2 linked regions of the Rhinolophus ferrumequinum genome follow. The protein of the gene in region 1 binds, or shares a complex with, the protein of each later gene. Links are inferred from orthologs where the notes say so. Each region holds a gene or a part of one and is shown on either strand. Other genes may lie near its edges.

Evidence for each region.
Region 2: SPTSSA (region 1) and SPTLC3 share a complex: the UniProt entries of both Homo sapiens proteins name them as parts of the serine palmitoyltransferase (SPT) complex. The link is inferred for Rhinolophus ferrumequinum from reciprocal best matches to the Homo sapiens genes SPTSSA and SPTLC3.

Annotation. Positions count from the first base shown.
Region 1 is NC_046289.1:82,805,399-82,812,682, forward strand, and holds the start of SPTSSA (serine palmitoyltransferase small subunit A), read right to left. Parts: upstream 3,052-7,284; 5' UTR 2,973-3,051; coding exon 2,870-2,972; intron 1-2,869. UniProt on the Homo sapiens protein: Component of the serine palmitoyltransferase multisubunit enzyme (SPT) that catalyzes the initial and rate-limiting step in sphingolipid biosynthesis by condensing L-serine and activated acyl-CoA (most commonly palmitoyl-CoA) to form long-chain bases.
Region 2 is NC_046306.1:33,439,333-33,447,405, forward strand, and holds the start of SPTLC3 (serine palmitoyltransferase 3), read left to right. Parts: upstream 1-4,989; 5' UTR 4,990-5,227; coding exon 5,228-5,344; intron 5,345-8,073. UniProt on the Homo sapiens protein: Component of the serine palmitoyltransferase multisubunit enzyme (SPT) that catalyzes the initial and rate-limiting step in sphingolipid biosynthesis by condensing L-serine and activated acyl-CoA (most commonly palmitoyl-CoA) to form long-chain bases.

The DNA of each region.
Region 1 (7,284 bases):
GATGCCCCTAGTAAGTGTGCAAAAAGTTATAGCTATCAGTTTTCCCTAAAATAGGGACAACCTCAAATTATTAAAGGAATTAGAGCAGTGAAATGCAAATTAATGCATTTATCTTCCAGAGTCTTTCTCTGTCCAGGACTTCTAAATCAAAGACCATTTTTCAGACAGCCAGACACATTTCTCCTACAATAAATTTTAGGTTTCTAGCAGTGATGATTATGTTCAATGTAATTTTTAAGAATGTGTCTTTCTAAAACCATGTAACTGGCCGCAAGCTAGTTCTGGGTGAAGCTTACTAATTATTAATGAATTTATGAAATTCAAACTACTTAGCAGTAATTAAAGCTCCCCATTAAGTAGAAAAGAAAATTTTTTAAATCCAGCTTTCTCATTCAGTTCTTTCCGCCAAGCTAGAATGAGGATTCAATCTCAAATTGATGTTTCAAACCATAGAATTAAATGTCTGACTTCAAAATAACTCTGTAAGTTGAGTTGAAATAATATAAATACAATAGCTGATAGTAATTTAAGACTGGCTTATGTCAAAGGATTGCATTTCTACCGAGTTAATTCAATGATATGAACTTTGAAATAATTTTTTTTTAATCTTAGGTTTAAAACCATAGGATTCTATAGTACCCAATGCTAGCTGGCTGCAGTTCTCACTAGTTTTTTTAAAAACTGAAATCTTTTGGTCATGTAACGCAATGAGAAGTCAAAAGCTTCAAAGGCAAAAATCTACAAAGGCACTACGTTTCATTTCATAACTTATTTCTCCAATCCAAAAAAAGCCATTACCTAGTATTTATGGGACACTATTACTACTGCAACATAATACATAAAAACCATAACACCAGTGATTCTATAGCATACATCTACATGCCAATAAAAGCTTTTAAGTGTAAAATCTATACAGCAGCCCCCCTTTATCTGTGGGGGATTTGTTCCAAGACCCCCAGTGGATGCGGGAAACCGCAGATAGTACGGAACCATATATATACTATGTTTTTTCCTGTACATTCATACCGATGAAAAAGTTTAACTTGTAAATTAGGCACAGTAAGAGATTAACAACAATAATAAAATAAAACAATCATAACAATATACTGTAATAAGTTCTGTGAATGTGGTTTTTCTCTCTCTCTGATAAGAGATGAGTGGATACACTGGACAAAGGGATGAGTGACATCCCAAGTGGGACAAGGTGAGATATCATTACAGTGGGCAATTTAAAACTTATGAATTCTTTACTTCTGAAATTTACCATTTAGTATTTTTGAATTATGGTTGACCACAGGTAACTGACACGGTACAAAGCGAAACCACCGATAAAAGGAGCGACTACTGTAGTAGACCCTGACAGTGGGCTCTGCGCTCAACTTCTGATTTAAAGAGTTTCAATTTAGCACAACATTGTTTAAAGTCACTTTTAAGATGAGTTTAAATTAACTAAATCAAGAAGTATGTGCTTCTGTATTTCAGTATCCATTTCACAAGGATGACCTCATGAGCTCTCACCTACAGAACTTAGCGTAAGACTAAACTGCAGCTACAAATAACTGGTGCAGGAAATCAGAGAATATTTTACATTCAGATTTTAAATCCAAAATGTGCATCCTGGTTCTTAAATTCCAGGTTTGGAAAGAAATGCTTACAACAAAAATAACTTTCCTTGTAAGCAGCTAAGATTCTTCCAGTGTTGAAACACAAGACTCAGCTGTAGGTACAATCTCATGCTAGTTCAGCACAAATAAACACACTTTGAAGGCTTGAAATGAATTACCTCAGTCACTCCACCAGAATGCAACTACGCATTTGCAAAGCTGTTCTGAAGCTACTCCAAATTAAACCGAACTGAAAAGGAGAGATCTTGTATGAAGTAAGTATGCTGTGTGAAATACTTGTTTCACACTGGCCCCCAAGTTAAAAAAAAAAAAAAAAAAAAAAAAGTTACATCTCATGACTAGTATTTATTTTGCAAGAATATCAAGAGATGTCTACATAGACAAATGGAGAGACAAACATCACAGACTTCAGGCATCCCATTTTCACAACCTTGAGTTATTAATTTCAGTCGTTATGAAAGTTAGATGAGTTAAGATACAGGGAAAATGCTTAGCACAGTTGGCTTGGCTCATAGCACACACGTAATAGTCATTAACAAGTACTAGTTATCTACGAAAAATTGCAAACACCATCTACAATTAACCACAAATTCCTCTTCAGGATCGATTTCACGGACAGCAAATTAATGGGGGTAAAAAAAAAACAAACCACTTTTAAACTACCCATCTTGAAGATACAATAGGTACAATAACAGGCTCTTTTCAAAAATTGAATTGGGCTGTCATGAACACAAATTCACAACCTAATTAAAAAGCTGGAAAACTTAGCATTCTCTTTAGGACCGGAGCCAGCTAAATCAGGGACAGTTAAAGGTCAAAGGCATCCAAGCCGGTAGCGATTTGCTCCCCTTACACGGTCCCTGCCTCCCACAGAAAACAGGGGACTGAACCAAAGGCAGGCGCGGCCAAAGTGCAAGCGACGGCATGCCACGTTAGACATCGCTCTAGGGGATTTCTTCCAGCAATAAAGACGCTTCTACCTTGGGCCAAAGGACTCAAAGGCGACCTGGGATCTCAAGAGTCCTCGCCCCCTGACGGCCTTCCCAACCGCGGGAGCGCGCCCTCGGCCCACGAGACCTCTGCCACGCGTGCCCGCCGCGAAAAGCGAGTCCGCGCGCGCGGTTCCCGCCGGTCCGCCTCTCCGCCTTCGGTTCCCCGCCCCCCAGGCCCTGGGCCCGGAAGGATGCCGCTCAGGCCCCCAACCCCCCACCCCGACCCCCGCGCCCACGGCCCGGGCAGGATACTGAACACAGTCCGCTCCCAGGGCTCCAGCATGTAGAGCGCCGTGACCAGCAGGTACTGGTAGTACAGCCAGGACATTTGTTTCCAGGCCCGCGCCAGCGCCATCGCGGCCGCGTGCCTCCTGCGTTGCAGCCGAATGTCAGTCTGTCCGGCAGGCCTCCCGTTGGTGTCCTAATGCCCCCGCCCGCGAGGCCCGCCTGCCAGCCCGCCAGCCCGCGCCCATTGGCCCGCACCGCCCGGTGCGTCACCGGCGGGCACGCCTAGCCCGGAGATGGCCCGGGCAGCCGGGCCCGAGCCCCGCCCGGCCGGAGTTCATTGGCCAGCCCGCGGCCCCGCGTCGTACCCGCCCCCTCCACACTTCCCCCTCCCCGGGCCGCGCCCACGCGAGCCAGAGAACTGTCCCCGCGAGAGCACCCGCCGCGCGCAGCACGCCCCGCCCTGCCTCCGCCGGCCGTTGGTGAGCCGGGCGGTGGTGCCGCCTGGGGTCCACCCAGTCTGGCCCAGAAACGCTGGTGGGAGAAGGTGTTTGTGGAATACCTGTGATGCCTCGGGCATCCTGCTGGGCAGAGGGAACACAGGAGTGAACAGGAACGTGTGAGGTACCTATCCTCGTGCAGTTTACAATCTACCGGCGAGACAGGTATTAATGACACGAATTCAAGTAAAGCTGTGATGGGCCCAGAGGGGGAGAATAAGGTGCTCAGAGAGGGTGGACAGGAGAATGTCACCTAGTCAAGGAAAGGCGTCTCTGAAGGGATGCACACGCTGCCTCCTTCCTCCCTCACTCCCTCCCTCCCCCACGCGCGGGCACACAAACACCACATACGAGTAGACCAACATACACTCCTTAACCTAAAGACATAACAGAGATGACCATGAATATGTCTCTCTGCCCACCTCTTTTAGTGGCTATAGGCACTACGTAAGGTCAAGGCCAGGAGAAGGGTACTGAGCTGGTGGGTTCTGCAGATGACAGGATGCTTGAGACCTGTCTGTGGGCTGATAATTCCTGGACATGCATTCTGGAATGTCCAGATTTTCCCACTGGCAAGTGGGCCAGCAACATTGCACTCACCTTCAGGAATGAGATGCATGATTAGCATGTGAAATGACACGACTAAATGGCCTGCTGTTTAAATGTTGAAAGGTTTCTAGGTTAAACAGCTTACTGTTTAAACTTTAAAACTTGCATGGTGGGGCGGCTGGTTGGTTAAGTGGTTAGAGCGCAGTGCTCATAACCTCAGGGTGGTGGGTTGGATTCCCACATGAGCCAATGAGCTGTGCCTTCCACAACTAGATTGCAAACAACAACTTGACATGGAGCTGCTGAGTCCTGGAAAAACACACTGTTCCCCAATACTCCCCAAAAAAAACTGTGGAAAAAAAAAACTGTCATGGTTGATGTTTTATTTATTCATTTAGAAATATCAAGTGCTGTTCATGAGTTAAACATTGGATATAGAAAGCCAGACTAAGATCTGTCTTTATAAGTACCCAGTCTACTAGGGAAGAGAGGCAAGTTAACAGATTTCAATGAGATGTGGTAAAAAGTATTTTTACGTTATATGTAGGATGCCACAATAGCCCAGAGAAAATCAGATTGGGGTTGTAAAAGGCTTCTGGAAAGTGATCTTAAATTGAATATTGAAGGAAAAGTAGAAATGGCAGAATGAATAGGTGGGGGTAGGAGGGACGCAGATATTCCAAGCACAGGAGCATGAAGGCCTGATGCATTTAAAGGGCTGGAAGAACTTCCTCACGGCTGAAGCAAAAAGAAGGTAAAGAAAGTGTAGACAGGGGTGGCCAGTTAGCTCAGTTGGTTAGAGCATGGTGCTGGGACACCAGGGAGCACCAAGGTTGCCAGTTTGATCCCCGCATGGGCCACTGTGAGCTGTGCTCTCCTTGAAAAAAAAAAAAGAATGTGTAGGCAGTAGCAAGAGGTGGGGCTAGATAGTAAAGAGGGACCGCTTCTTAAAGAACCTTGTGTGAGGAGCTAAGGAATTTTTAACTTGAAATCCAGAAGTTAAAAGAGCCCATGGCTTAATAAGATTTGCATTTTGGACAAGACTTGGGGATAGGCAGTAGCCTGGAGGCCACTGAGGAAAACAGGATCCGGTAGAAGACATGACACAGGTAGAACCTGTCAGTGGGACATGTGTAACCCACACTTACTCAAGATCTCCTCACCCTTGAGAGATCCAGGTACACTTGGCCCTCCCACTTCTGCATCTTACTGTGTGAGGCTTCTCCATGTCGCTGTTCCTCACTGAGCTATCTCTGTTCAGATCTGTTCAGGAACAGGCAAGCTCTGCTCCTTTATATTCAAGAACTTCAAGTACCTGAGCACCTGGTGATACTTAGTTAAGTTAACCCAAGATTGGAAGCATCACGCACAGCTACCCTGCTGTCCCCGGGCAGCTCACTAGGCCATCCCACGGTACACGGCCCCCACTGTCCACTGCATCTCTTTGGGAGAGCAGCCGTACCAATTTGCATCCCTCAGCTGCTCTGGGATTCTAGTGAACAAAAATCCATCTTGCTAGACTTGGCAACTGACTGAAAAATGGTGGGGGAAAGAGGCTGGGATCTTGGATCGTGACAATATTCACGAAGAATCCAGGGGAAGAAGTCTGGCTGAAAAGATACAAATTCAGTTAGGAAAAGGCTGAGTTTGAGGTACCTGAAGGACATTTAAGTGGCGGTGTCCAGGGGACAGTTGGTCATAGGGGTCTAGAATTTAGAAGAGAAAGCTGAACAGAAGCCAAAGGCATGAGTTTTCAATAAGCCCCTGGTAATTAAAGCCCTGATTGCAGATGAGGTCACCTCAGGAAAGCACAGAATGGGCAGAGTACAGAACAAACCCAGAGACTGGCTTTTAAGGGATGAGAATCTAAAGGGAGCCAATAAAGTGCACTCAGAAGGAACTGAGATTTGATAGCAAAGAGGAGAGATGTATGGGAGAAGCCAAGGGAGGAAGGAATGGCCAGCAGATCAAACGGTTCAGGGAGGACAAGCAAGGGGAAGGGAAGTGCCAGTTTGTCTCGTCCACCTGAGGCTCAAGTGATGACGCACTCACTGCGGCGTGATAAGGGCAGAAACCCGATTCAAGAGCAAGTGGGAAGTGAGAAGAGACTTATCTTTGCCGGAAGCTTGCCTTTGAAGGGAAAGAGAGAGAGGATGGTAGCAAAGGTTTTTATTTGGTTTGGTTTTCGGATGGGAAAGATGTGATCAAGTTTATGGGCTTAGAGTAAAGATACGGGTGAAAATGGTGGCATCAGACCTAAAGCCTTAATAAACAGGAGCCAGTAGCTCTTTTCCTAAGAAGGGGAGGATGGAAAAGGTGGGAATCAGATGGACAAAAACACGGAAGAGTAAGTTAAGGAACTCCCTGCTTCACAGCCTCAGTTTCCTTAGTGAAAAAGAAAGGCCTCTCTAAAGTTAGGCCTTCTGTTGAGAATGAGCAAGATGTTGAGGTAGAGGGTTTGGAAAGAAAAAAGGGTAGTGAGAGAAGCTCCCTGAAGCTGCTTTAGGTGTTGTCAGGCAGAAAAATTATACAATTTTCACCAGCAATCCACAAGGACCCATAGGTAGAACTGGAGAGGATGAATTAAGGGGCTTGCTCCAAAGTGGAGTCTTGCTGGCTGAGTACAAGGGAGACACAAAGAAGCAAGGAGGTTGATAGGGAGAGAAAAACTGAAATAAGGGCTGCGAGAACTGGGTCAGAGAAGGAAGTAAATGCTAGAAGAGAGAAAATGGAGCAGTCAAGAGCTGTGTGAGGTTGGAAACTAGGAGTAGATAAGTGGGAGAGCTTCCATCCTGGAGGATGTAACCACGGATGTGCGTCTGAAGTTCAAGATTACAGAGATGCGCCGGACCTCCGCAATGACATGCATAGGCTGTGACCATGGGACGGGCAGCCAAAGTAGAGTGGAAGGAAAGTAAAAGACAGGCTGACCACTTGAAAGCTGAACTTGTCCAGGAGGATGGCAAGACTAGGAGCTGAGAGGAAAAGTCTGCAGATCAAATGTCAGCGTCTTCAGGGAACGTGGGGAAAAGCTCAGGAGAGAAGAGGAACAGAGAGGGGTAAAGCCCAGAGGTGTGTGGTTTTGGTTAGGAGGCCATAACGGGGAGCAAGAAGAAGGCCAACCCCACTCACCCCCAGTCCCTTGGTTGGGGGGTGGGGGGGTAGGTTATTTCTCAGGGGAGGGGAATGAGGTGACGTGTTCACAAAAAGATTGGCAGTAGAGGAAAAAAAGAATCTGGCACAAGATAGGGTTGGCAGGGAGGGCTCAGTGCAAGGATGTGTCTGGAAGAAGGAAATCCCAGAGCAGAGTGAGAAGGTGGGATGTTGGTACCTGAGGCAGGTACTGTGGATGGCAACGCGGGCCAGGCGGACCTCCAGGTCTCGCTCAGACGG
Region 2 (8,073 bases), on another chromosome or scaffold:
TGACTCTGGGTGGTGAACACAAAATGTGATTTTTAGATGATGTAATACAGAATTGTACACCTCAAATCTATGTAACTTTACTAACAATTGTCACTCCGATAAATTTTAATTAAAAAAAAAAAGAAAATTTCTCCATCCCAAGGCACCAGAATCATCTCATGATTTACCTCCAGGGTCAAGTCATTCCAGGATGGATTTACTCTATATGTGTCTGGAACTAAGTAGGGTTTTAATTCATATCATGCCCAGCAGGGTTATAAAATGACCCAGTCACACTTAGCAGTCCAAAAGAACTGCCTAGCAAAGTAAGAGACAGGCTACACCAATGTATCAGTACCTCAGCCTCACCTAAAGAATATACCTGTTCCTTAGAGTTGGGTGATTGTATTTTCAATCCTGGCAATACTGAAGTTAATAGGGAGATGATAAAGAAAATCAATCCCATAGTAGTAATATTTGCTTATTAAGTTTAGGAATAATCTATGTGTGCAAATGAACTGTAAAATCTATATAATATTAATGATACTTTCACATAGCAGTCTTGTAATTTAAGTTAAAATATGTAAGAGTATTAACTAGTTTATAGACAGTATTGAGATATTAAGAAGAATTTGATTTACCATATATTATATGGGTTGATTTTGTGCTTGGCAAAATTTTGCTTATTAAGGCTACAAATTTCCTTAGTGTCCATTTCAAGTACTTAAAAGGAAAGAAAATATATCCAAGTGTTTTTATGTTTTAAATTTTAAAGATGTTTAATTAGCTAAGTTTTAAATGTTTTAAGACAAAACATTAACCAAGTCCATAAATGGCGATGTTTTCTATAAGGAAAATTTAGCCTATTCATCTTATGTTAATCAAATATCAATCAATTAACAATCACAAAAGTAATTGTTCTTCTTTCATACAGAAGTTACAACAAGATTTACAGATGGAACTTAACTAGGGTGTCAATTTTGTAATTTAATGTGCCAAATATTAATTTAAAACCCACCTAAGTAAATTATCATTGCTTTGTACAAATACCCTCCCCCCTCCAAAAAAAAAAAAAGAAAGTCAGTTTGACAGAAATAAAAATATTTTTGGATTAACAAAATCAGGTACCTTGACTACGAAATATAGGGGCTTCAAGAAGTTCAACCCCAAGCATCTGAAACAGCAAGGTAATAATAGTGGCTCTTGAATACTTCTTAGAAGTCCCTGGCTCTGTATTTTGAAAATCTGAATCCTGAACTTTTTTTTTTTTAATAGATGTTCAGTTTTGTAGGCAAAGAGTTATGATGTCCGCAGGGAGGGTGAAACTCTGTGTTTTGCTCAAGGGCATTCTGAAGGTAATTGCTACTACAAAGACTTGCAGAGACACTACTCCCTGGAAGATTATATCATGAAGAAAAGCAGAAATATTCCACTGTTGCTGGCCTTGAGGTAGTAGTCATCAATAATGTGTTTTGTTGGGGTTTTTTTCTAACTTAAAATAGCATTGCTGTACTTTTAACCCATGTTTAGAAAGAAAGAAAAAACCTATCTGACATCAAAAATATAAGTATCTGGCCTCCTGTTGATAAGAAAGTCTTTTGAACTGAATTATTTTTACACTGAGAATTTTCCAGACTGAATTTTTTAGAAAATTTAACTATTTCCCTGTAGAAGTATCCCAGACTATAAAATCCAAGTAGATTTTAAGATGTTATTAGATCTTTGCTTGTATTTAATAGATGACAGGATTTTAATGGATCAGAAATACAAAATAAAATATTTTTACTTATTATTTGGCTAATTCAAAGAAATTTCCCAAATCATAACAGTTTCTGTTATTTTTCTTCTTGATTGATATTCTCAAGACAACAGCGGAAGGAGAGATATCATGGTATTAGGGAAAGAGGACTTGCTCTGGACTCAAATTCTAGAGTTTATGACCAACTCCTGGCATATATTCTTGTGGCTTTGGAAAAGTCACTTAACTTGTTGGAACTTTAGTTTTTGCATCATCATTACTCTCCATTACGTAAGTAAAGATTGATTCACTGAATAGATTTATAGACACTGTACAATTCTGACAATGTATTTTGCTCATTTCCTCCCTTTTTTGTCAATTTTCTGTTTCCAAATGGTTCCCGGAGCTTTTTCACAATATGTTACCAAGCTCTGAACTTCCCTTTCTTATTTATCCCTAGAAGCTGACATCTGGCAAAAGTGTCCCTTCAGGGACTACCACAAGGCCATTGTTAACTAATTTGGTCTTTGTCCTTAATACAATAATAAACAGGTTTATGTTTACCTTCAATAATGAGAGATCTTGAGTAGAAGATATGCAGGTGCTATTAACGCTCAGTTTTCTGTGAAGGTGAAGACTGCCTGAGTCTTGTTCACTGTTGTATTGAAGGACTTAGCAAATAACCTAGGACATAATAGTTATTCAAATATTTGTTGGATTTACTGGTTGATCTGAAATACATTTAGTTATTCCTAGACAACAAATCATACTCAATTGCAGTCTGTTTTAATGTTGATCGATGTCGTAGACATTTTGGGTTACTATAACAAAATACCATAAACTGAATAGCTCATAAACAACAGAAATGTGTTCCTCATAGTTCTGAAGGCTGAGAAGTCCAAGAGCAAGGAATGGAAAGATTTAGTGTTTGGTGAAGACCCACTTCCTAGACTGGTGTCTTTTTGCTATAACCTCACTTGGCTGAAGGGACAAGGGAGCCTCCTGGGCCTCTATTATAAAGCACTAATCCCTTCATGAGGGCTCTACCTTCCTGACCTAATTACATCCCAACAGCCCCACCTCCTAATACCATCACCTTAAGAGTTAGGGTTTCAACATATGAATTTTGGGTGACACAAACTGTCAGACTATAAGAGATCAATATCCTTACACTCAGAGCTACCACTCACTCAAATTGACCTCCACACTTATTTTCACTGGAGATGATATAAAACAAGGAGCCACCATTGATTATGCATATCCATAGTATCTAATGCTGAATGGTTGTTGTGTTAAGAAGATTTTGTGCACACAGCAGTTTACATATTCCAATATGGCAAGTAAAGGAGAAAAGTTTCAAGAGTGAGAACATGTGGTAGATATTTCCTGAAGGTCTATGTGTAGTCGTTTCACCTTGGCTATTGGGATTAGGAAAAAAAAAAGTGAAGGAAATTTCAACTGCTTTTTGAGATTTTTTTCTATATATGGTTGTGTCCCCTTGTAAAAAGAAAATAAAGAAAAACAGGAAGAAAACGAGGAGGGGGGAAGATTGGAGAATAGGGAAAGGGGGAATTCAACAGAAGAACTGGAAGAAGGAAGAAGAGAATAAAAGAAGGAGAGATAAAAATATCTAATGTTCAGAATTTAGTTTTATCTCAAAATTCTCATTTGAAAAATAACTTTCTACAGGTCATTAGAGGTCAGTCAACATAACAATGTCTTCAACTTGTCTTTCCAAGTAAGCTGAGGTAGTCAGGCCAACCAACAGTTACCAGGGTTCCCACCTACCTTTCCATCTCTCTTTTGTATAAGTCTAGAAGGAAATAAGCCAACAACACTGGTTTAGCTCCCATCCCAGTTAGAAGTCACAGAAGAGAGAGACCAGTGAAAAAAATCTAGTTCTGCTCTGATGACAATGGTTGGAAGAGATGCAATAAAATTCTGAGATTGAGACACAAAAGGGTGGGCATACTTGGCATTAACTCCATCCTGTTATTTAACCCAAGACCTTATTCCTTCAGTTCTCCCCGGGATGGGAAAAATGGGAACCCTCACATGTAAATCAAGGTTAGGAGAAGCATTACGATCACTTCCTCTGTAAGCCACCTCTTGCTGGAGGGGACACAAACCCTGTACAAACCCAAGAACCAGGAAATGAGGCTTTGAAAACAGGAGCCATTCCTGTCTTTTTGTTTTTGTTTTTGCTTTGTTTGTTTTTTTCCATTGACCCATTAAATGGTTTTCTTTTCTAAGTGCCTGATGTTAAAGAAGTCTTAGTTCAGGAGAACCATGAGGGTGGGCTTGGGAGAACTCAACAGGCTGTAAGTGATTATCCAATAATACGTATCAGCTCAATGCCATTTGATGGTGACAGGAGAAGATAAGCCTTTGGTGACTGGTGCACTGAGAGAATCAGAGTTAATAAGTAAACCAGAGCTGCTCGAGACTGAGACACTGCAGTCACCGTCTGATTCACAGTACCTGTGTCAGTAACAAAGCCAAGCCATGGTTTTATTTTCCTACCACCCCATCATACATTAGCTCAAAAAATGTGTCTTATTTCATTTTACAGGCAGAGAAACTGAGGCGTAAAAAAGAGAAAATAGCTTCTCAAAGATCATGCGACAGGTAATGCAGCCATGATGAGAAATCAAATATTCTGTCCCCCAGACTTCTGCCTTACAGCAATTCTTCATGAGTTGGTACCTCTCATTATATCACTGGCTTTAACATTAGGTCAAACATTAGGTGGGTTCTAAATACTTTTTTTGCCATTTTTGTATTATGGTAAAATCCACCTCACATAAAATTTCTATTTTAACCATTTTTAAGTGTACAGCTCAATGGCATTGAGTACATTCGCAGTGTTGTGCAACCATCGCCACCATCTAAGTGCCAAAACTTTTTCCGTCTTCTCCAACAGAAACTCATTAAATGGTAACTTCCCATTCTATCTTTCCTCTAGTTCCTGGCAACCACTCCTGAATGTTATTTTACAGCAAAGGGAAATGTTGACTTGGAGTTTCATTTACACCTAAAAAATGTAATTAGCTGCAGGAGGGACGGGGTGGGAGATATGTAAATTTGCAACTGTACCTCAGCAGAAGGTTCCATGTGAGTGGTGTGTGTGTGTGTGTGTGTGTGTCTTTAAAAGATTTTCCTCCTCCCAGCCCGCCCCCTCAGAGTTTGCCACTGGGTTTTGCAGTCTCCTGATTTCCTCAGTCCACAAGAGGAGCCAGCATGGGCAATCTCCTTTATAGTTTCAGGAACTAGTTTGTTGCCGTGGAAGCCACTTTCTGAGTTGAGGAGTAGAAAGGTAACTGTTTGTTTTTAGTTTCAAAGATCTGCTCAAAAGATAGACTATTGCTCTTCTTCTGGAAAAGCCTGATTGGTAGGATTCCTCCACGGTCTCAGCCCAAAGTGCTTTCTCCCATCCCCTCACCAACTTCAAAACTGACGCTTGCCAAGAACCGCTGGAGGAAAACCTGCTGGGTTCCATCATTTCACACAATGGTTAATTCTGGAGGTGGTACTGTTTGCAATGGGGATCTTCACAATCACAAAAAACAGCGTGTCGGCTTGCAAAGTGGAAACTGCACAAGGAATGGGATAGTGAAAGAAGCCCAGGTAAGAGGCAATCCCTCCCTGACTCTGAATGACCAGAACATTTCAATATTTCTTTGTAAAGCTCTTTGAAGCTGTCTTCACTGAAAATCCTTTTTTATGACGTGTTATGTGTTTTGACTCTTCCCTTCAGCTAATTTCAAATGCTTGGCTACCAAAGAGTTTAGCTGTGGGTTAAGGAGACAATTTCTTCTCTGTACAAGGGAGGACACACATTGGGTTTGTGTAAACCCTGAAAACACAAACATAGCTACGAGACTTTGTTTACTCTCAAGTATTCGGGGGCAGACTTGTGAAGGCTCAAACTTTTCAGCTAAATTTTAGTCCATCAAAAAATCATAATAGGCTACATTCATCACGTTTCATAAAAAAAAAAAAAGAGAGAAAGTGAAAGTAAATCTAAAATTGCTGAGATTTTGTGGTACGGATAGCATTTTTCTCCAGTGCGTGAGAAATGCCTCTCTGGGTGAAAGGTGAATTCTTTTTGGTGTTTAGTGGAGCATTGTCATAGCTTGCAGCTTGATTTTGGTCCCAAGTCTTTCTTTGAAACTTGACATCACAACATTCCTTTTGAAGACACTTCAGAAAGTGTGGCTTATTGTTAAAACCCTGCACACAGGAACCAAACAGACTTTGAATTGTTTTCCCATTTGATACTTTTTTTTTTTTTTTGGCTCCTGCTGTAACAGAATGTTTGAAGGGAATGTACTGAGGAGGAGAGGAACTCAAGAAATGTTGTCAGCTTATCCAAAGAGGGCGGTGGGCTCTGTGAGGTACTTGTAAAAAGGCAGCTCCCCATTTCCCATGAGATACCCTACCTGTCGGCAATGAGTAGTCAGGATGAGCTCACCTGCTTCAGAAGCACGTCAGCATAGCAAAACAGGTGGTTCCACTGTTGGGAAATGAAAAAAGTTGGGAAGAGTATCTATGTAGTCCTCCATCACTCATCCGTCCCTGGAAGACCAGCATCCGCCCAGGGAACAGCTTGTTCTAAGATCACAGAACAGGTTGGGCTGGCTAGCGGCCAGTCCACCACTCAGTGCATTAAATTTGTGAGTACAGTTGGAAGAAGTGAGGGGCAGGGTGGGGAAGAGTCTGGACCCTGGGTTGTGTGTGAATAGGCTGTGGTCCCCTCTTAACAGAAGGCATTACCTCAGTCTTAGAAGTGTCTACCTGAAATCTGAGGCTTGACCTCTCCCAGCTGAATATCTGAAACCTAGTGCAATGTAAAGAGAAAACACTCAACTCCTCCTATTAGCATGAGGGCAATCATAATAATACGCACCATCTATTTGTCACTGTGTCAATTCAGACTACAATCACTCAAGATGCTCTTTATCCCTGAAATGCCTAGGACACTAGCCACTCACCTACTTGCCCTCTGGACCATTCTGACCCTGAGGGCTCTCACTTGGGCAGAGACACTCTTAAAGCTATTCTTCTCTCTTTACCTTGGTTTTATAGCCACCTTCTAGTGTCTGAGGTTAGAAACTTACCTAGATGTTTACAGCTATTCCTAAATAAGGACAAAAGCCAGGATCTTAAAGGGTCATTACTAAGTGCTCCTACAAGACTGTAAGTAGCCTGGGACACTGAGGCTTCCCTGAGAGCAGCAGGTATTATCAAAGCTGCTGTTACCTTTTCCGACAGCTCTTTCTGAAGGACCATCCAGCACGTGTTGGGCTCAGATATATTTAGGTGTTACTAAGTTGGAATTGGCAACTACTGAGAGACTTGATTATTGCTTTAAAAATATTTTCCAGAAAGAATAAACCCTGCTGAGATCTTGGTGTAGCAGAGCAGACAAGGACCTGACTTCCCCTCCATGATGTGGGTGAAGTTGTCTTCACTATCACGATCCTCAGTTACTAGTTTTAATCCATTTTGCCTTGGGGTCCTTTAACAAACTGGGTCTTGACCAAAAACCTTGATAGTTGACAAGCTCTCCATAAAGGCTGACAGATGTGCTGGGCCAGCTGTCTTCCAAACACGTTCTGCCGGGCCTAGGGTCCTATGAAGCAGCATCTAGAGTCCTACTAGCACCTCTGAAGATCCCGTGACCCTTTATCTTCCAGCTTATTTGCAACCACTCAGCAACACATTTGTTTTTCATATATATTTGGGGTTCCTGTAAGATTCTGTTAACATGGAGTTCTCTGACATAAGAAAATAAGTAAATAAATAAATAAAACTGAAAATCACTGTTAGGCAATCTGTCAAGAGCCCTCCTTTCCTTTGTTCCAATGTAGCCTGGTTTCAACACTCTAGCCCTGGAGTCCAGGCTTACTTCCCCAACCTCAGGACTGGCAAGAGATCCAGATTCTTTCTATTTTGGAAACCTTCTAGTGTTCCTTTATGGAACTTTTTTGGAACTTGACTGTAGCGCCTGGGTTTTTGTTTTGTTTTGTTTTGTTGTTGTTGTTTTTCTCTTTGAACCTCATACGACCTGAGGATGCACTGATAATTGGTTTTCACCACTGACTAAGTCCATTTCTTTGTTCACTTCTAATATGTCATCCTGCCTCTTGTTCCTGACAGATGGAACCTCAGTCAGTAACAGAACACTATTGTTCTAGAGGATTTGTTCTTCTCCTCATGAGCATATCCACATGACAGAAGAGCCCTTAGCATCTTAATCCAAACTTGATATTCTTATCATTTCCAATTCATTAACTTAATCCCCATAAAATTAATTTGGAATGATCATTTTCCTAATTGCGCTTTACCCTCAC